Linked DNA regions of Caenorhabditis elegans. The protein of the gene in region 3 purifies or fractionates together with the protein of the main gene of each other region. This does not show direct contact. Each region holds a gene or a part of one and is shown on either strand. Other genes may lie near its edges. The genes, in order: qdpr-1, gst-27, lbp-2 and dct-16.

What was found.
Region 1: the proteins of lbp-2 (region 3) and qdpr-1 fractionate together in Caenorhabditis elegans (co-fractionation; one large-scale study listed by BioGRID). This does not show direct contact.
Region 2: the proteins of lbp-2 (region 3) and gst-27 fractionate together in Caenorhabditis elegans (co-fractionation; one large-scale study listed by BioGRID). This does not show direct contact.
Region 4: the proteins of lbp-2 (region 3) and dct-16 fractionate together in Caenorhabditis elegans (co-fractionation; one large-scale study listed by BioGRID). This does not show direct contact.

Annotation. Positions count from the first base shown.
Region 1 is NC_003281.10:13,390,037-13,395,586, reverse strand, and holds qdpr-1 (Dihydropteridine reductase), read right to left. Parts: upstream 1,678-5,550; 5' UTR 1,669-1,677; coding exon 1,585-1,668; intron 1,527-1,584; coding exon 1,423-1,526; intron 1,366-1,422; coding exon 1,242-1,365; intron 1,190-1,241; coding exon 921-1,189; intron 867-920; coding exon 737-866; 3' UTR 608-736; downstream 1-607. Other genes in the region: dnj-17 (DnaJ homolog subfamily C member 21), read left to right, coding at 2,252-2,563, 2,608-2,901, 2,956-3,086, 3,134-3,304, 4,057-4,364, 4,421-4,662; T03F6.3 (Glucosamine-6-phosphate deaminase), read right to left, coding at 4,874-5,176.
Region 2 is NC_003280.10:15,163,204-15,168,446, forward strand, and holds gst-27 (glutathione transferase), read right to left. Parts: upstream 2,506-5,243; 5' UTR 2,467-2,505; coding exon 2,328-2,466; intron 2,228-2,327; coding exon 1,737-2,227; 3' UTR 1,687-1,736; downstream 1-1,686. Other genes in the region: ptr-20 (SSD domain-containing protein), read left to right, coding at 1-269; gst-26 (glutathione transferase), read right to left, coding at 662-1,152, 1,202-1,340; gst-28 (glutathione transferase), read right to left, coding at 3,068-3,558, 4,051-4,189.
Region 3 is NC_003284.9:3,257,885-3,263,081, reverse strand, and holds lbp-2 (Fatty acid-binding protein homolog 2), read right to left. Parts: upstream 2,473-5,197; 5' UTR 2,281-2,472; coding exon 1,963-2,280; intron 1,907-1,962; coding exon 1,793-1,906; intron 1,747-1,792; coding exon 1,693-1,746; 3' UTR 1,612-1,692; downstream 1-1,611. Other genes in the region: fbxb-71 (F-box domain-containing protein), read right to left, coding at 12-79; lbp-1 (Fatty acid-binding protein homolog 1), read right to left, coding at 3,329-3,382, 3,441-3,554, 3,613-3,924; lbp-3 (Fatty acid-binding protein homolog 3), read right to left, coding at 5,019-5,081, 5,150-5,197. UniProt on the Caenorhabditis elegans protein: May play a role in sequestering potentially toxic fatty acids and their peroxidation products, or it may be involved in the maintenance of the impermeable lipid layer of the eggshell.
Region 4 is NC_003283.11:20,496,631-20,501,934, forward strand, and holds dct-16 (DAF-16/FOXO Controlled, germline Tumor affecting), read right to left. Parts: upstream 2,428-5,304; 5' UTR 2,379-2,427; coding exon 2,366-2,378; intron 1,613-2,365; coding exon 1,353-1,612; 3' UTR 1,294-1,352; downstream 1-1,293. Other genes in the region: B0250.5 (putative 3-hydroxyisobutyrate dehydrogenase, mitochondrial), read left to right, coding at 344-541; dct-14 (DAF-16/FOXO Controlled, germline Tumor affecting), read right to left, coding at 3,423-3,575, 3,629-3,745, 3,799-3,864.

The DNA.
Region 1 (5,550 bases), on a different chromosome or scaffold from region 3:
AAGATTTATTCTCTGCAAACAGATAGAGGAGAATTGGAAGAGAGAAAATGATATGGGAGTGACTAATAAACTGCGGGTTTCTCTGTTTTCTTGTCATATCAATATGGTGAGAATTGACGAATTAAACTAAAGATTTGGGACAAGAATTATGTAATAATACGCTGAAAAAGAAAACGAAAAAAAAAAACAATTTTTCGGTAATTTAAAGGAGCATGAACAATATGTTGTAGATTTTTAATTAAAATCGTTTCAGGACCCATCGCAAAAGTGGTGTGCCCCTTCCAAGGTATATTTTCCATTCTCTGAATTCATAATATTTTGGTAAAGTTATTTTCAACGTAATTTGTATAAAATCTTTTGCGAGTTTCTAGCAAATTTTTACTTTTGCCCCGAAAATACGGTACTCGGTCTCAACACGACAAACTTTGATTAACTTCGAAAAGGGATGCGCCTTTAGGGAGTACTGTAATTTTGTAACATTTTGTTGCCGTAGAATTTTCTATAAATTTAAAGAAAATAGGGAACTAAAAAAAAACCATAAGAAATTGTCGCGTCGAGACCGGTACCGTATTTTCAGCAGAAAAATTGCAATATTTCGCATCTAGATAATAAAACATTTTTACTTAAAAACATCACAAGCTTTATGGACAAATGATTTAGAAATTGATAGCATACTACATGGAAAAATAACAGATAATAAGCGGAATGTAAAAAAGGCTGAAAAATGTCGGTAAAATTATTGTGGAGTGATAGTCGATGTTCCATTTTCAGTGGTTATTTTGAGGAGAGCCCCGGAAGATGGACGGCTCGATGTTTCTGTGGTCCATTTGAGAAGATGTTCAGAGATGAATGAGAGTGGAGTCCAGCTGAAAAAAAAACATAGAAAACTATGCAAAAGAAAAAGAGTAATTTAATTTTACCTTGAATGATCAGCATTTGGCATCCATTTTCTGTTCATTGGGGTGTCCAAAGTGACTGGCATAATTGTCAAAACGGCCGAATTGTCAGGCAATCCCGAATCTTTGGCAGCCAATGAAGATGTCAGATGATGAACTGCAGCTTTTGCCATACCATATCCAATCATTGATGGAGTTGGTCCCATAGCAGCAGCAGCTCCTGTAAGCTGAAGAAGACCTCCCGGCTTGAGGTGAGTGGTGGCCAATTTGGCTGCAATTGCTGAACTCCAGACCTGAAAATTCACGGTAGAATAATACCAGATGTTTAGGATTAATATATGTTACCGATTGTTTGATCATTAAATCAGCATTTTTCACAAAATCTTTTGAAGAAGCGGAGCCTCCAGCCCATCCACCGGCAACACAGAAAACTCCATCAACCTGACTTCCCTGGAGAGATGAAGCAGTTCTGCAAATATTTTATGAGGTTACGGTAGCTTTTTTTTAAATTAAAAATACAACTTACTGCTCGAGAATGGATTGTTCTTGTTCTGTCCAATTTTTATTTCCGTCCACCAAAATATTACTGTCAGCTTGGTCATTGGCACTCAAGTCGATGTTTAGAACAGTCTGAAAATTAATGAAAATTAATTTACAACATCCTAATTCAATTTCTTTTAAAACTTACATAACCATTTTTCTTGAAGAATTCAAGAATAGCAGATCCAAGTGCGCCTTTGCCTCCGTATACGATAACTTTTCCACTGGACATTGTTCGAAACTGCAAGGAAAAAGTAAAGAATGACAATATGGAGGTTGAAGGACAAATTGGCCGCGTGGACGACGTCAAGGACGATTTTAATGTGATACTGGTATCAACGAGTGATCAGAGACACAGATTTTTAATGTTAAATGAGGGAAAACTTGATGGAATTCAGGAAAATAAAGATGAAACAACATTTTGGAAATCGGTTTCCGAGCTTGAACTCGAAACGAACTTTTGTTATCGAGAGTTTTATCAGTTATATTTTTGCAAGAAATTTGGCAGACATATCAATCGATAGCTCTTATTTAGCTCAACAACATTTAATATGAATCACAACAGGAAAATGTGAATTAGCTTCTCAGAATTCGTCAAAACATCGTGGGAAAAAATATAGGAAATTATTTTTTTACAATTGCGCTCTAATGTAGATGGCGAGACATCGTGTGGAAAGGAGAGACGATAGATAACTTTTTCTTTTCATTTAATTCTTTTTCTTGTTTCTATTATTATTTAAATGGTTTCGCATGAACTATTCATTTCAATTTATAAAATAAAATCATATTTAGAGTAAATTTTAAATATTTCAGCTATGAAATGCCATTACGAAGTGCTCGAAGTTGAACGCGACGCTGATGACGATAAAATCAAAAAGAACTACAGAAAACTAGCGCTCAAATGGCATCCCGACAAAAATCCGGATCGCATCGAAGAGTGTACTCAGCAATTTAGGCTTCTTCAAGCTGCGTACGACGTTTTGAGTGATCCACGAGAACGCGAATTTTACGATAGACATAGAGAAAGTATTCTGAAGGGAAAAAATACGGATTTCGAGGAACAATCCACGGATTTGTTCCCCTATTTCACCGCTTCTTGCTATCAAGGATATGAAAACGATAAAAATGTGAGAATGAAATCTAAAAAGTAAATCAAAATTATAAATTACAGGGCTTCTTCACTGTCTACCGGAAAGTCTTCAATATCCTAGTTTCTGAGGAATATGATGCGTACAACGATTCAACAATAGTCTATCCAGAGTTTGGCGACAAGGATACCGATTTGGAGCAAACTGTGAATGGTTTCTACGGTTTTTGGAGCTCTTTTTCGACAACTCGCTCTTTTGCCTGGCTGGATCATTATGATATCACACAGGCTTCAAATCGATTCGAATCACGGCAAATCGATCAGGAAAATAAGAAGTTTAGGGATGTCGGAAAGCAGGAAAGGAACGAGCAAATTAGGGTATGATTGTCCGGAATATTTAATTTTAAATTTAAATTTAACAAAATTTTTCAGAATCTGGTCGCTTTTGTTCGAAAACGTGATCCACGTGTCAAAGCATATAGGGAAATTTTGGAGCAAAAAAAATTGGAAGCACATAAGAAACAAGCTGATAATCGAAAAAAGCAGATCGCCAAAAATCAAGAGTAAGTTCCGAAATTGTGAAAAATAAGGAAAAAATTGAATTTTTCAGGCTAGCCAACTCATATCTGAACGACAAAGAAGCCGAGGCAGCCCGTCTTGCTCATTTGATTGAAGTTAGTCTACAAATGGCCGAGGATTACGATACTTGTAGTGATGAATGTGATGAAGAAGGAGAAGAACTTCCATATTGTGTTGTTTGTAGCAAATCGTTCAAAACTGTGTAAGCAGAATATTATAAAGACGCAGAAAAATGCCATTTTTGAAATGGAGATGCAAGTACGCTTCACGGAAAAATTAAATCGCTCCGCCTCCAAAGTTGGGTCTTGTTAGGCATTGGCTGCAAAACCTTAATTTCAAACGATTTTTGTTTAAAAAAAAGCTTAAAAAATGCACAATAATCGAAACATTGAGAATTGAAAAACGAAAATTATAGATTTATCGGAACTCCTTTAAAAAATTTTTTTTTGATCTTTTAAAATCGAAAAATCTAAATAAAACGTTTAAAAAATGAAAAAAAAGAAGAAAAATTGAAAAATTTGAGGTCATTTTTCTAAAAATCAAATTTTTTGAAATATTGAAAAAATTTTTAAAAAAACATCGAGAATTTTTTTTTCGAATTGGAATGAACCAAAACTAAAAAAAAATCGATATGTAATTTTCCGATATAAAAAAAAAGAAAAAAGACTAATTTTTCTTATCAAAATATACAAAACTTTATAAAAAAGTTGAAATTGTGTGTCAATTTTCTGAAAAATAATTTTTTTGATTTTTTGATTATTTTAGAAAAAAATGAAAATCCTTGAAGAAAAGTGAGAGACAAAAAATACGAAAAAATATTGAAAACGTTTAAAATTATGGATTTACCGCCACTACCTAACGAGACCCAACTTTTGTCCGTGGAGCGCGCTTGCACCTCAATTTCAAAAGTCTGATTATATTCATCTCTATAATATTCTTCAAACTTAATTTCAGAAACGCCAAGTTGAATCATGAGAACTCGAAGCAACACATCCGTCAGCTGAATGAGCTGAAAAAGCATATGAAAGAAGAAGATTCCACGATTTTCACCGAAGCAGAACCGAAACCCGACGAAACACCGAAAGGAAAGAAGAATAAGAGAAAGGATAGGAAAAAGGGGAATGGAATATTTGATGTGGAAGAAACAGAAGCAGTAGAAGCCGAGATTCAGGAAGCGCCGCCCGTGGAAAATGAGCAGCCGGAGGAAGAGGAAAAGGAATGTACCCCGGAAGTTGTTAAGAAAGAGAAAAAGAAGAGAAGAGGTACATTTTGTAGAATTGCAAAATCTTTAAAACAAAAACAAAAATTTTGTTTTCAGCTGATAAAAATCAAAACCCATCGGCGACAGTAGAGGAAGAAGCACCGAAGTCAACTGAACCAAAATCTGCAATTTGTGATAAATGCCGTGAGGTATTCGATAGCCGGACCAGGTTATTTGCTCATTTACAAGAAACCGGACACGCCACGTTGCTCATCAACAAACCAGGAGAAAAAGGACAGAAGAAGGCGAAAAATAAGAAGGGACAACGTGGAAATAAGGGGGATGATGAGGATTGGTGAAACATTTTTTTTTTGGTATTTATTCTTGTTCTAATTGTTTTGTTTGTGAAAGTTTAATAAATATTTTTCAAAATTCAATTTTATTGAAATGTTTCGGGAAGAATAATGGGCAAATAATGAGTACCAAAATGTTCAATATTTAGTATTCAAAGTTACAGTGAAAGTTACAGTGAAAATTAGTGGAAGGGTACATGAAAAAAAGTAATACAGATTAAAACATGACAAGTGAACGATGATGATTCATTAATCCTTTGAAATATTTGACCGTCTTCACTTTCAACTCCAACGTGGCATCTTCGTCGGCAATAAACGTTGCACATCGATGCATCTGCATCGCAGAGACCGTACACATGTGAGAGATTCCGCATTCGATTGCCTGATGAAGAGCCAGCGCTTTGTGTGATCCTGTGATGAGAATCATCACTTCACGAGCATCCATTACAGTCTGGACGCCGACTGTCAGAGCTTGTGTTGGCACTTTTGTGATGTCTCCACCGAAGAAACGAGCGTTAGCCTGGAATTATTATTTTACTCCTGATTCCAAATATCTATGTGCACACGCGGTTCTGGCTCATTTTGACTCGGCCAAGGCCGGGGTTTAGTTGCAACGCTAAATGTATTTGTCCGTGTGGAGTACACGACTTTCCAGCAGGCAATTGTCAATGTAGCGCGAAAAATTCAATTATTTTAAGACGACTTTCAAACGCGCGTCAGAAACATTCTCATTGGAGCGCGCTGTGACATGTCAATTTACGAGATGATTGACGTTTTCCAACAAATTTCGTTCAATTTCGTCGGATTATTGTTGTCAATGGAACATTTTTTCCGACAAAACTGAAGAAAAATCGTAAATCGACACAACACGGCGCGCTCCATTGAGAATTTTTC
Region 2 (5,243 bases), on a different chromosome or scaffold from region 3:
ACCGTCTTCTAAGCACCTTCCGCGGAGTCGCCTGGCCAGTAATGCAGTCCGGGCTCTCCACGATTCTTGGCATGTTCCCATTGATGTTTGTACGTGCGTATGTTGTAGCAGTATTCTGGAAGACTGTGATCCTGGTCGGTATACTTGGAATGCTTCATGCTCTCATTCTGTTGCCAGTAATATTCATTTTAACGCATGACATTAAGCTCTTATTCCGACGGAAACGTGCAGTTGCTCCTACTCCGCATTCGATGGAATTGGCTTCATAGAGCGTTTTGTTGTAGTTTGTATGTTTTTTTGAAAACCCAGGGTATTTTCTTTTCCATTGATTGTATTATCATCTAATACGGGTTGTTCACATCTCCATTGATTGTTTGATAACATGTTTGAAATAAAATTTTCGTACTCAATAGTAAAACAGTACACAGCTCTATGTTTTAGGTTACATATGAGTATGAAATAAATGAAAAGAGTGGTTCGAAGCACTTGAGAATTATCTTCGGTACTCAAGCAGCACTGTTACTGTAGCGAACAGAACTATGAAATTTTTAGAAAATTAAATTACACTAGTGAATTTATATTCCCACAATAATTTGAATTTTTACAAGGAGATATTAAAACTATTTATTGTATTCAATTATCAAACAATTTACAACAAACTTTAGTACTGAGTATCTGGGCGAATCTCGACCCACTTCTTGATAGCTGGAATCGCATAGACCTTCTCCCGAAGAGCAACCAACTTTGGCTCTCCCGCTGGAGTGAATAACTGATTTTTGTCCAAAGTTGTGATGCACTCCACAACTACAATATCGGCAAAAGTGAGCCCATCTCCAACCAAGAATCCTGACTTGCTCTTCTCCAGGATCCCATTGATGATTACGAAGAATGCATCTCTAGCCGGAACGACATCTGATTGCATGATCTTTGCAATCTCCTCAGCTGGCTTTCCAGCGGCATGTGCTTTTCCGACTTCTCTGAAGGATCCCATGAAATCCTTGAATTGGTCAACGATGGCATCTGCCCAAGCTTGCTCTTCCGGGGTTTTTCCAGCATATCCAAATTTATTGGCAAGATAGCGGATGATTGCAGCAGATTGTGGAATTTCAAATCCATCGACGGATAGGACCGGGACTTGTCCGAGTGGAGTTTCTGAAATACTTACTTTGAGTTTAGTGTTTGCCACATATAAATGACCTACTTTCTTTCAGCTTTTCCCATGTTCCATCTCCATGGGTCATACGGAAATCCTCAAATGGAACATCGGCAAGATGGAAGAGAATACGAGCAGCTTCTCCGTAGCCACGAGCGTTGAAATAGGTGAGTTTGTAGGAAGGCATAGTGATCTGTCTGTTTTAAATATAGGTATGTGTGATAGTGTGATTCCGATATCAAACAATTTTTCGAAATAGCATTGGAAAAATGCAGTCTTTCCGCATAGTCTTATCAAATATTTGACAGAAAAAGTCAAACCATGATTAATTTTTACAAAGTATTTCAGAGAAAAATAACAATTTAAGGTCAATTGTACAATTTTAAAAAATGTATCCTGGACCATAAAATTTTTTTAACTGTAAAATTGAACAGAACTGAGTTTAGCTTCAATCTAGATAGAAAAATAAAGTTAAAAATAGAATTAACACGTTCAGAATTAACGTATTTGAAAATAAAATGAGATTACATGAACATAACATAACGATTTATTGAATTAATATATCAGCACATTTAAAACAAACCTAGTTCAGGGTATCTGGACGAATCTCAACCCATTTCTTTATTGCTGGAATCGCATATACCTTCTCTCGAAGCGCGACCAATTTTGGTTGCTCCGATGCAGTGAAGAGCTGATGTTTGTCCAAAGTTGTGATGCATTCCACAATCACAATATCTGCGATGGTTAGACCATCTCCAACTAAAAATCCGGACTTGCTCTTCTCAAGGATCTTGTTGATTATCACAAAGAATGCATCTCTTGCCGGAACGAGATCTGACTGGATGATCTTCCCGACCTCCTCGGCAGACTTTCCAGCAGCGCTTGCTTTTCCCACTTCTTTGATTGATACCATAAAATCCTTGTATTGATCGACGATAGCATCAGTCCAGGCTTGCTCCTCCGGGGTTTTTCCAGCATATCCGAATTGCTTGGCAAGGTAGCGGTTGATTGCAGCGGATTGTGGAATTTCAAATCCATCAACTGATAAGACTGGGGCTTGTCCAAATGGAGTTTCTAAATAGAAACAAAAAATAATGTTCAATTTCTGTCTTGGCTACTTTATTTCAGTTTTTTTTAAATTTTAATATGGCGTTTCAAGGTCGCTATTACTTACTGGCTTTGAGATTTTCCCATGTTCCATCTCCAATGGTCATTCGGAAATCTTCAAATGGAACATCGGCAAGATGGAACAGAATACGAGCTGGTTCTCCATATCCACGCACGTTAAAATAGGTCAGCTTGTAGGATGGCATTTTAGTTAAATGAAAACCACAACCAGACAGTTTTCTTGTGTGATTCTGCAAGCAAAATGATTGGGAAAAATTCCTCCGCAAAGTGTTATCAAACTGTCGTGGAGATCAATAAACCAAAAACCAAGAAATGGATGGGGGGGGGGGGGGGGAGGTGGGAGAAGAGTCAATAAAAATTCGGACGGAGAGTCAATAAAATCCAAAATTCTACTTTAAGTTAAAATAAAAAATGTCGAACGAGGTAAAGTGCCCGCAATCCAATGAACGATAATCGAAGGAGTGGACATCATTCCGTTTTCTATTCGCCTCTTCCATGCACTTGCAATAAACAGAACTTGCAAGTGTTTGGTAGAGAGGCGGTGAGAGGGCACGAACCTGTGGCAGTCGGAACGAGAGACCAACTCGTTATCCAGCAGGCCACGCGTGCACTTGGCAGAAACGGTGTTGTTGAGAATGATGTTGAGTGCGGGTTTTAGAGGAAGAAGGCAGCTGCGATTGAGAGGAAAATTGCAAATAAGAATGCAAATAGTGGTGCATTTTAAAAATTTATTCGAATTTGTAATTATATTACTTCATTGAACAAAATTTCAAGAAAATTTTCGATTTAGTACTGAGTATCTGGACGAGCCTCTACCCACTTCCTGATAGCTGGAATTGCATAGACCTTCTCTCGAAGAGCAGCCAAGTTTGGTTGCTCCGAAGCAACAAACAATTGATTTTTCTCCAAAGTAGTAATATTCTCAGAGATGACAATGTCCGCGAAGGTGATACTGTCGCCGACTAGGAATCCTGACTTGCTCTTTTCAAGAAGCCCATTGAGAATCTTAAAGTACGAATCTCTAGCTGGAATCACTACTTCAGAAGTGATCTTTGCAATTTCTTCCTGAGATTTTCCAGCGAAATGTGCCATGATACGTTCGCGGAATGATCCCATGAAATCCTTGAACTGATCAACGATGGCATCTGCCCAAACCTGCTCTTCTGGGGTTTTTCCAGCATATCCGAATTTGTTGGCAAGGTAGCGGATTATTGCAGCAGATTGTGGGATATCAAATCCATCAACGGTCAGGTAAGGTACTTGACCAAATGGGGCGCCTGAAAAAATATATATATGTGAGTAAGTATTTGGAGCATTCTAAAAATTTCAAAATTTTCAGAAATTTTCCAAAAAGCTCCAGAAGTTGTAAAAGTTTCTAGAAAAAAATTTTTAGATTAAAATTCGAATCCCATCCAAAACTTCATCGTGAAAAATAATGTTTTTTTTATTGTGAATTTCCCGCTAAAAAAGTTTCGAAACAATTACATATACATAGCCCTAAAACTATTTTATAAAAAAAATTGATTTTTCCGGCGAAATTTTTTAAATAATTTTTTGTTTTAATTTGGAATGCCTTTTTTACGAAAAATGATGCCTACAATTTTTTGAAAAAAATTTAACCCATCCAAGACCGTGTGCTCAGAAAATTTGGCTTTCCCATTATTGTCAGAACTTTTTTTAAAATTTGAATGCCATCCATAACTTCTTATCAAAATATCGCGCTATAATAAGATAGGCAGGCAATCGGTAGGCCCCAAATCTCCACTAACCGTCTTTAAGCTTCTCCCATGTTCCATCTCCGTGTGTCATACGGAAGTCCTCGAATGGAACATCTGCCAAGTGGAAGAGGATACGTGCGGCCTCAGCGTATCCACGAGCATTGAAATAGGTGAGCTTGTAGGTAGGCATTTTTGACAACTTTTCTGTAATGAAGTAGTATTTATACGCAAAAAAGGAAAACTGGAACGCCGAAAATAATTGGACAACAAAATAATCGCATCAATTATTTTTCTGTACAACTTTGCCAACCCTTTTTATACTATATGTTTACCGTCTATGTCTCTGCCTTCACGTGTGCTGGCAGTTGATGCTTGGTTGTGTTTGAACAATTTGAAACGATTGATCTTTTGCCGTTTCCTGCCACTTTGGTTTTTGGTTGTGGTTTTTGGTTTTGTTGAAACTAGGACTTCAAAAGCCTGAGCCTGAGCCTGAGCCCAATTTGACGGTTTGCCGATTTGCCAGAAGTTTTCAATTCCGGCAATTTGTAGATTTGCCGGGTTTTCGGAAAATTTAATTCCGCAATTTTCCGGTTTCCGATTTGCCGGAGGTTTTTAATTCCGACAATTTGCAGATTTGCCGATTTGCCGAAAATTTCAATTCCGGCAATTTTCTGGTTTGCCGATTTGCCAGAAGTTTTCAATTCCGGCAATTTGTAGATTTGCCGGTTTCTCGGAAAATTTATTTCCGCAATTTTCCGGTTTCCGATTTGCCGGAGGTTTTTAATTCCGACAATTTGCAGATTTGCCGATTTGCCGAAAATTTCAATTCCGGCAATTTTCTGGTTTGCCGATTTGCCAGAAGTTTTCAATTCCGGCAATTTGTAGATTTGCCGGGTTTTCGGAAAATTTAATTCCGCAATTTTCCGGTTTCCGATTTGCCGGAGGTTTTTAATTCCGACAATTTGCAGATTTGCCGATTTGCCGAAAATTTCAATTCCGGCAATTTTCTGGTTTGCCGATTTGCCAGAAGTTTTCAATTCCGGCAATTTGTAGATTTGCCGGTTTCTCGGAAAATTTAATTCCGCAATTTTCCGGTTTCCGATTTGCCGGAGGTTTTTAATTCCGGCAATTTGCAGATTTGCCGATTTGCCGAAAATTTCAAGTCCGGCAATTTGCCAGTTTGCTGATTTGCTGGAAGTTTTCAATTCCGGCTATTTGCCTATTTGCCAGAAAAAATCGTTTTC
Region 3 (5,197 bases):
TAATAACTTACATTTCCAGAAGATCGCAGTGTTGAAGTGTGCATCGGAGAGCCTTTGAAGGTAGTTGTAAAATATTCATTACAGCAGAATGAGCAGTACAGACAAAATGACGGAGAAGGTTGAGTGGACGAAAGCGAGTGGAAGAAAAAAAGAGCAACTGACGTAAGACTATCCACTACTGTGCAAGATGACTCTGACGTACAAGGGAAAATGGACTATTCTGAATCGATATTAGGCAGCTGGCTTGTGGAGTATGGGAAGACACAGTTGACCACTGGAAATGCTAACCCGCGTTACCGTGAGTTACAATAATTCGTTGTCTACGTGACAATCCCTTTGCACGTAAGATATGACTAAAATTTCTCATTTTTAGACATATTCGTAATACATACAGTTGCAATGCAAAATGAAGACAAAGAAAATTTTGAAGGTAAAGCATTGTAAAGGAATTTTTAAAAAATGTATTTATTGTAGCAAGTGCCAAAAAATGTATACTAGCTTGTACGGACGTTTTTTTTTTTTAATTGATAAAAATATATAAAAGCTGATTTTTTCAAAAATTCAAAAGTATGGGAAAATCATATGGAGTCATTCTTTTTTATTTCATAAAACTGTTTAGCATAGTCAAAAATACCAGAATATGCTAATCAAAGTATATTAGCTTGTACGGAAGTTTTTTTTTTTAATTGATAAAAATATATAAAAGCTGATTTTTTCAAAAATTCAAAAGTATGGGAAAATCATATGGAGTCATTCTTTTTTATTTCATAAAACTGTTTAGCATAGTCAAAAATACCAGAATATGCTAATCAAAGTATATTAGCTTGTACGGAAGTTTTTTTTTTTTAATGATAAAAATATATAAAAGCTGGTTTTTTTCAAAAATTCAAAAGTCCTGGAAAGTCATATGGAGTCATTCTTTTTTATTTCAGAAAACTGTTTAGCATAGTCAAAAATACCAAAAAATGCCAATCAAGTATAATAGCTTGTACGAAAGTTTTTTTTAAAATTACATTTTTAGCACATTTTTAGCACATTTTTAGCACATTTCAAGCACATTTCTAGCACATTTTTAGCACATTTCAAGCACATTTTTAGCACATTTTTAGCACATTTTTAGCACATTTTTAGCACATTTTCAGCACATTTTTAGCACATTAATGGCACTTTTTTTTGTATGATAGAACATGTAGAATATAGGTGCTAAGTGATCTTTATCTCTGCATAAATAATTGAAACAAAATTAATGTGTAAAAATAGTAGAAAATTTTTTTGGTCCACTTTCAAAATTATGAGTGGCAATAACGGAGTCACTTTTCAACAGTAAATGAACAATTTTCCAAAATTATTGATATTTGGTCCTTTTGGCACCATAGGCGTAGTTTTTTGCCAATTTCCCACTGGTGCTACTCAACGTTTAGATGAAATCACATAAAGAAAACGACAACTGTAGTTTAAATAATGGTTGTTGCAGAATTTGGCAGCGAGATCATACTCTAGTGTTAAGTTTCTTACCTCAACATGTTCATTTTTTAATCTGTAGAAAATTAAAAACTAATAATTGGGATAATACATTCCACCAAGATTCCAAATTGAAAACATCAGAAGATTGCTTGAAAATAAATTTATTTTTTTCGGAAATGAAATTGAATTGCAAATTTAAGAAAATTTCAATAGAATAAGTTTAAACTTTTATGGGAGTCTCTTGTAGAATCTGCGGCCTTCGATATTGTTGAAGCTCATCTTCTGTAATTAACAAAAATGTATGTCAAATAGATTGACCAAATTTTACCTGAATAAGAAAATCTCCATCAAAGTAATACTCATAGGTTTCTTCCTTGGATTCTCCCTCTTCAAGTGGCTTGTGATGTTCGAACAAGTGTCCGTCCTTGAGAGTGAAGGTAACCTGAAAATTATAATTGAAATAAAAATAAAATAAAAAGTACATGGCATGGAACTCACCTCGTGCTTGGTGTTATCAAGACCCTCTCCTTCGAACTTGCTTCCGATCTGGACGTTTTTGTAGAACACATCTTTTTTCGATGTCAAGTTGGAGTAGTCGAAGAGGTTTTTGTTAGCATTCTTGGCAAAAACCTTCTTGAATGTCGCAAAGGTTACAAGCTTTCGAGTGAACCATCCGTATCCTTTGGCAGTGAGGTACTCATCAAAATTTTCAGAGTGATCCAAGTCGAAGGTTCCATAGAACTTTTCTGGAAGCTGTTCGGCAGCCACAAGGGTAGCTCCACAAAATGCGAGTAAGATGAGGAATTTCGAAGACATTTTTGTTCAAGTCAATGACTGAATGACTGAAGTGTCCACAGAAATGAAGATTGATCAAGACTCCGCCCAGTTGCTCAATCGACAACACAATAAAACTGAGGTCAGCCACGTGTGTAATATAGGGTCACGGCACGGATGGCAACAACAAATTGATGATCGGACTTACTTGATTTTCAAAAATCCTCACAACACCTGGAAGCTAATAATAAACAAAATTTAAGAGACCGAACGAAAACAATTCATCGATTACTTGTTGAAATGCAGAATGAATTTTGTCGAAATAAATTTAAACGCGTTAAGAAAATTGAAAAGAAAACTGCTACGTTTTTTGACTGCACATCAAACAATTTAAGACTTAAAAAAATATTTTTAATGAGGTCCTCAAGATCCAATGATTTTAGTTATTAAACTATGTATTTTGAGAAATGGTTCTTATTTAATGGTACCTTATTCAGAAATTAAATGTGAAAATCAGGAAAAAAAAAATAAAAAAGAGCATACGAAAGAGTAGAAAAAACTCCATTTTATAGAAAACTTTCGAACACAACATCGAAAAAAAAAAACCGAAAAGTGATTGGATTTTGACCCACCCGAAATTTTAAACTGGTTGTGTCCTTTTTGTGTTTTGAATTACGTTTTTGCAAATATCACGGCGCAATCGAACTTTCATGTTTTGATTCCAGCATAGGTTCAATTCATCTGATAATTTGATTCTTAATTTCAAGTCTTCAATGTGCAAAATTTTCTTTTTAACACTTGTGTCACTTTTACACGTTAACAAAAATTCAAATTTTAATCAACTTTGCTTTCTAGAACTCCTAATATGTACATTTTTAAACCAGTGAAAACATTTCCCAAACAAAAAACTTCAGAGGGCTATGCAGCATGAATCACAAAAGAACCGCGTTATTTTTCTTATTTTTTGCCCCATATCACATTACAGAATCGATCTAACTTTTCAGTTTATTTGAAACTTGAAATACATCAGTGGCAAAAAAAGTACATTGAGAAATCAATTCATACAAAAATTACAATAGTTTCTGAATATTTATGGGAGTCGTTTGTAGAATCGGCGTCCCTCAACTCCATTGAAACTCATGCGCTGAAAATTACAATCATGAGAATGTGAAATTGGTTTTTAAAAAATGTTTATAACTTACCACAAGAAGGAATTCCTTATCGAAAAGGTACTCGTAGGTCTCTTCCTTGGCGTCTCCTCCCTCGAGTGGCTTGTGATGCTCAAACAAATGTCCGTCCTTGAGGGTGAAAGTGATCTGAAAATTAATTAATTAATCAATTTGAAAGGTTACTTGAAAACTTGCAAAAGCGTACCTCGTGTTTGGTGCTGTCAAGTCCTTCTCCCTGGAAGGCTTTTCCAAGTTGGACATTCTTGTAATGGACGTCTTTCTTTGATGTCAAGTTGGAGTAGTCAAAGAGGTTCTTGTTGGAAGTCTTAGTGAACACCTTTTTGAATGTGGCAAAAGTGACAAGTTTACGAGTGAACCATCCGTATCCTTTAGCAGTGAGATACTCATCAAAATTTTCGGAATGGTCCAAGTCAAAAGTTCCATAGAACTTATCAGGGAGAACAGCAGCTGAAGCAGCTCCAACAAGAACCAGGAGAAGAGCGATTTTAGCGCACATGGTTGGCTAGGTCGATGAATGAACGACTGACGTCTTGGCAGGACTGTGGGCTGTGTGTCGACGTCGTCTGCGTGGACCCCGCCTACTTGCACAGTCGTAAACAACATTGTACGGCAAGAAGTGCAGCCCACATGTCGATTGCGCTGACGATTAGCAGAGATGGACGGCTGGACTCGGATGGGTATCGAAAGAGAGTGTAGCATAAATGATTCGGGGCAGATTTTTTTTGTTCCGTGTGTTGGGGTCAGTTCGGATATTTTTGAAGAGAGTAGTTGCATGAATCGGGTCCTGGAAGACCGAACAATCAACTCAAAATAATTTCGTTGAAGGTTTAAGGCGAATCGAATTGCAATTTCCTTATTTGGTTGATATAATTTTATGTTATCATTATCTTTCATAGTCTATAGTATGATTCTCCATTTCTTCAGCAAACATTGAATACGGCAACAGGTCTTCAGGTCTGCAGTTCAAAACACAATCCATGCAGGGCTGGGACTTTGGAAAACCAAAAAAAACTACCGGAAAAAATTATGAAAATTTTTATTCATATAGAATTCGACCCACAGAAAAAGAAAACGACTTCAGAAAAAAAGTTTTTTTGCCGCAGAATTTCGGTACATTCGGTTTTGGGTTTTTTTGGTTTCAAAATGAAAACGAAAAAATATTGTAAGGATCCCATAAAACACAATTTTTCAAAAATATTTTTAAACTTTCAACACTAGCTAAAATTTTTAAGACACAAAATTGTTTTTTTTTCTGGTTTTCAAATGTTTGAGCCCTATTCCCAGATGACAGAATTCATATTAGAGATCATTGTTTTCCAGATGGCCTTTCCCGTAAATTGGCCAATACGATTCTCACGTTTTATTGGGCTACAATAGACCCATCTACTTTGTACCTTGGCTAATCTGTTCTATGTCCACTTTCGATGTTTGACCTCCATCTGTTCATTCGTTTTTTTTTGTGAGATCATGCAATTTTTGAAAATGGCAGAGCAAGTCTAAAGGGACAATTGTTTATTTAAAAGGACAGAAAAAATAAACATCTGTGATTAATAATGTGAAGAGCTCAGTTTTATGTTGTGTTTATAATTTCTACTTCTTTCCGGTCGATCGCTTGAACCAACGACGGCACGTGATTCCATTGTTGACCATTTTCTAAAAATGAGAAAATTAGTGGAAGAAGTTGTAAAATGGAAAAAAGGAAAAGAGAACGAAGTACACACCATGACAAGTTGATCGTTCTCGATAGTGTAGTAGTACGTCTCCGCGCT
Region 4 (5,304 bases), on a different chromosome or scaffold from region 3:
AAAAAAAAATCGAATATCTGGAACATTTTTGCAAATCGGCATCTTGCCGGTTTGTCGAGTTGCCGGAAACGTTCAATTCCTTCAATTTGCCGATTTGCCGGAAATTTTCAATTTCGGCAACTTGCCGGTTTGCCGATTTGCCGGAAATTTTTAATTCCGGCAACTTGCCGTTTCGCCGATTTGCCGGAAATTTTCATTTTCGGCAAATTGCCGGTTTGCCGGTGTGCCGGAAATTTTCAATTCCGGCAATGTGCCAATTCGCCGATTTGCCAGAAATTTCATTCAAAAATTTCAATGAAAGTCTCCTAAATTCCGCCGATCAACCTAAAATTTCCAATTTCAGGGTTATGCTGGCGGCTTCGGAACGACTCTAATGGCAAAAGACCTTTCATTGGCTCAAAATGCTTCAACAAATACTCAAGCACCAACTCCAATGGGCTCACTGGCTCATCAAATCTACCGTATTCTGGCTCGTGATCCACAGTACCAGGCAAAGGATTTCGGTGTCGTCTATCAGTTTTTGAAGAAACAAAACTCATAATTTTCGGTTTTTTCTGAAATTTTTAAAGCATATTTTATGTGATTTGAAGCCCCGTATTTTCAGGATTTTTCCAATTTTTAAGCATATTTTATGTGATTTTTCCGCCTTTTTTCTATGTGCCAAATTGTGTTTTTTATGTAGAAAAAAATAGAAATTTATGAATTTTTTGTTTAAATTCGAAAAACTGTCTGGGAAAAAATCGAATCGAAAAAATTCGAAAAAAAATTTAAAATTTTCAGGGTTTTAATCGAAAAATTAATCTTAAAAAATCAATTTTTGTCACAAAAATTTATCGAAAAAAAAGCTGATTTTATAAGAAAAAATAGAGATTTTTAAAAAATTTACAAGAATATATTTTCCATGAAAAATCACTTGGAAAGACCATTACAAGTTCAAAATTACAAAAAAATTATTTATTACAAGCTCATAATTGAATTAAATTTGCGTGGTTCGATCTACTTCGATCTTCGAAAAATGCGGGAATTGAGATGCAGATTTCTCAATTGACTTCGCATGGATAAAAGCGTGCACTTTTTGGGCAAAAAAATCCCGCATTTTTTGTAGATCAAACCGTAATGGGACAGCCACCATGTATGTACATTACTTTTCAAGTAGGTCAAGTAGGTTCGGGCAGTTTCCGAAATTTTAAAGGAACTTTTTCATTAGAAATACGTGGTGTCATTACTGTTTGATCTACAGAAAATGCGGGAATTTTTTTCCCAAAAGTATGTGACCATTACAAGTTTAAAATTACAAAAATTATTTTATTACAAGCTCATAATAGAATAAAATTTCAAAACAAAAAGAAAATCTATTGCTTCTTGGCGGCCTCGATAAGCTCGGCCTTCTTCTTCTCAATAATGACAGCGTAGATCTTCTGATCGGCTTCCGATTGTCCCTTAATATACTCATTGGTCTCTCCGATCATTTTTGTGATAATTGCCAAAGAAGTGGCAGCATCACGTTCTGGCTCATCGTCCTTCTTCTTGTAAGTGGCGGCGATTTTGAGAATTCCCTCGATGGATTCTGGCGAGAGACCGGCGGCTGTCATCTCCTCCTTGGCTTTTGCGACTGAAATTTTTTTTACATATTAGTAGGGTATTAGGAGACCTACAAAAAATCCGAAAATTTTCAATTTTTGGATTTTTATTAGGTAATTTGCGTGGTTTGATCTACTTAGATCTTCGAAAATGGCGGGAATTGAGATGCAGACTTCTTAACTGATTTTGCATGGTTAAGAACGTGCTGACGTCACATTTGTTTGGGTTAAAAAATCCCGCATTTTTTGTAGATCAAACCGTAATGGGACAGCCTGACACCACGTGTGTGCTGTACTTTTCAAGTTGGTTGTATGTTCGGGTAGTTTCCGATATTTTTAATAAACTTTTTTTATTGGAAGCGTGTGGTGTCAGACTGCCCATTACTGTTTGATCTACAGAAAATGCGGGAATTTTTTTCCAAAAATATGTGACGTGTCAGCATGTTCTTAACCATGTAAAATCAGTTGAGAAGTCTGCGTCTAAATTCCCGCTTTTTTTGTAGATCTCACCAAAATGGGACAGCCTGACATCTAAAAATGTAAAAAATTAAATCATTTTTTGGTGTTGTATCCTATAATATCTGGAATATGAGGTTATTGTACAATTACATGTAAAAAATCAAAACAATAACTTGCTAAAGAATTACATACTTTTTTCTGCCGAAAAATCAACAAAAATTGAAAATTTCAATTTTTCGCCATTTTCGGTCTTATTGTTAAATTTTTTTCAAATTGAACAAAAAACATGAATTCTTGAAAAAATAAGCATACATCCAAAAACTCACGTTTCTCGGCCATTTTTAGTGTTGATTCAGCAGCAGCAGCAGTGAAAATTGATGCCTATGCCGAAATGTGGCACCCCGCTTGGCATTTTATACCGAGAAAAAATGTTTGTGACCGCATGCACTTTGCTCTTCCAGCGCGTGTTTGCATGCTTACGTGTTCCGAACGAAGACCGTTTTTGCAGTTGTTGCTCCGCGAGCAACTAATTTAATGATGTGTCAAGAACACTATGTAGATAAGGAATTTTAGTGATATGACGGCTCGCGAAGATTTTAACGTGGAAACTTGCTGGAATCCATGTGGCAAATAGAGATTAATGTCTGATATTTTCCAGAAAAACTATGGCCCAGGCTTAGGCTTTATAGGGTTATTCATGAGATGACGATAAATGCAAAAATGTATTTTTTACATTTTTCCCCTATCTATTCATGTGTGTAGAAAAATGTAAAAAAAACACATGCTTTTTTTGCATTTTTCTACATTTTTCTACATTTTTCATGTGAAGCGGGCTGTCGGCCGATGTAGATAAATGTCGAAAAATGTTGAAAAATTAAAAAAAATGCCTTCGTTTTTAGGGATAGGGTAAAACTGTATAAAAATCATTTGTGCATTTTTTGGCATCACATGAATAATCCCAATAGCTTCGGTTTAGCGTTTAGGCTTAGCTTTTTTTTAAGGATTAGCTTTGGCCTAAGCTCAGGTGTATCAAAGTTTTAAGAGCCCATGATTACAGACCACCTAAAAAATCTCAATGACCAGAATTTCAACGCAAAACATATTTATTATTTATTGAAATAATCAGAAATCACAATTTTTAGAGATAAGAGGGCAGGAGAAATGATGGGAAGAAGGTGAATGGCATGATGGTGAAGCTTGTTTGACTACACGGCAGTACATAGGGTAGACCTGACTTTTTGGACATAGCGCTTGGGCCAAGAAGTACTAGGATGATCATGTAGGTTTAGAGGTTGTCTGGAATGTTTTTTGAAAATTGAAATCGCGAAAAGTTTGGAGTTAAAAATAGGATTGTTAGGATTATTGTTTACAAGTAGACAATAGTCACTTGCGACGTGCCGGATCTTCGTCGGCGATCCACAAATCGATCTTGTTCAACTCATTCTGTTTCTTGAGCTCTTCCGGGTTCCGAGGCTTTTCTGGTTTTGGCTCCTTGGGTACCACCTCTGGGTTCTTTTGTTCTGACGTTGAAGCTGTCTGAAAAAAGAATGTAAATAAGTAAATTATATGTTTCTCAAAAAAAAACTCACCTCTATCGCCTTGACCCTCTCCATGTTTTCATTGCGTCGTTTCTCGATCTCTCGCATTTTCACAGTCTTCAACGGGATAAGCTTCGGCTTACAGAAAATTGGCTCAAACCAATCTTCCTGAAAATAAGAAAAACACTCGAGCTTTTTTGTTAGCATAAATCTCAGCTCACCTTGGAAATAACGTAGCACTCATCGACGGTGAGCTTCTCCTCGACACTCGGAGCATCGGGGTTCATTTTAGTTGTGAAATTCAAAGCAATGAGTTTGCAAAAGATTCAGAAATTTGGTTGTTAAGGACAACCTCTTTACAACTCGCTGTGTACCCCTCAATTAAGACACATGAGATGCTTCTCATGGGAATTAAGGGGGATATAGTCAACAAGTATAGGTATACTATGATTAATTATCACGTGCGCTGGTGTGGGTGGGGGTCTGACGAGGTTCTGGTCGGAGGGTAATCTTGATGGGATGCGGAATTAAATTTCAAAAATAATAAGAGGACACGGGGTTCAAAATAAAAATTGGAAAGTAGAAAAATTTGAAAAAAAATTGATCAAGCGACAATTCTAGGTTGGCCAACACTCTGAGAATTCATAGTTGAGTCATCTGAAGTTTTCCTCAATTTTTCAAATTTCCAGCGGAATAGCTCTTTAACAGTGTCTCGATAATGAGCGTTTACGCCGAGGCAAATTAAGAAATGAACGGTGGCGTTAATGGCAACAAATGACGTGAAAATATCCATCAAATAGCGTATGGTAGTTCTGAAAAATAAATTTTGATGAAGCAATACCATTATATTAAAAAAAATTACCAAAAGGATAATCTAATATTCTAATAAGAAGTGATAAATTGAAATTTACAGAAAATACTTGAAACTTGATTTAATTTTTGCTGAAGTTTTAAGAAAAAAAAGTTTAAAAATTGAAATTAGAAAACTGCAGTTTTTTAAAAATAATTCCATATTTCTATTTTGAATTGAAAATATATATTTTGTTTGGAAATTTTAGAACTTTAATCTCAGTTGTTGAACTTTATTCTCGTCCTATAAATTTGTGTGTAAAGTTTTTGGATTTTTGTTTCAATTTAGAAAATTTACAAAAAATTCTCAACATTTCATTATTAAACTAGAAATTTCTTTAACTTTTTGCCTGAAATTTAACCAAAAATTTCAAACAAAATTGAATGCTTGATGAAATTTTGAAACGCCGAAAATATTATCTCGACTTGTTTAAATTTTCAAACAATTTTTGATGTTTGCCTTTTATTTATTAGAAGATTTTGGCCAAAAAATTTAGCGCGAAGTTTGACCAACTTGTAGGCAAATTCCATTAGACTCCGCCCGTTTAATGACTATTATTATATTCTCTTACACAATTGCCGGATGACTAGCGAGCAACCCTGTGGAGATATAAAGAATCCCAATTGGCAATTCAGCAGTGATAAATGAAATTGCCATCAGAATTACAAGCTTCGTGATTTAATCCGAAGATTGACTGAAAATTGTTCTTAAAGAAAGCAAGGCCTAATTTTGAAAAACCTGCCTTCCATTATCATTTCTCAACGAAGACGTTTTTTTCCGCAGAGCGATCATTTTTCTCAGCTGTCCAACTAGTAGAGCTGTGAGGATGGGAAGAAGAATTGCGAGGCAAGCCTAAAAATCAAATTATCAAAGTGAA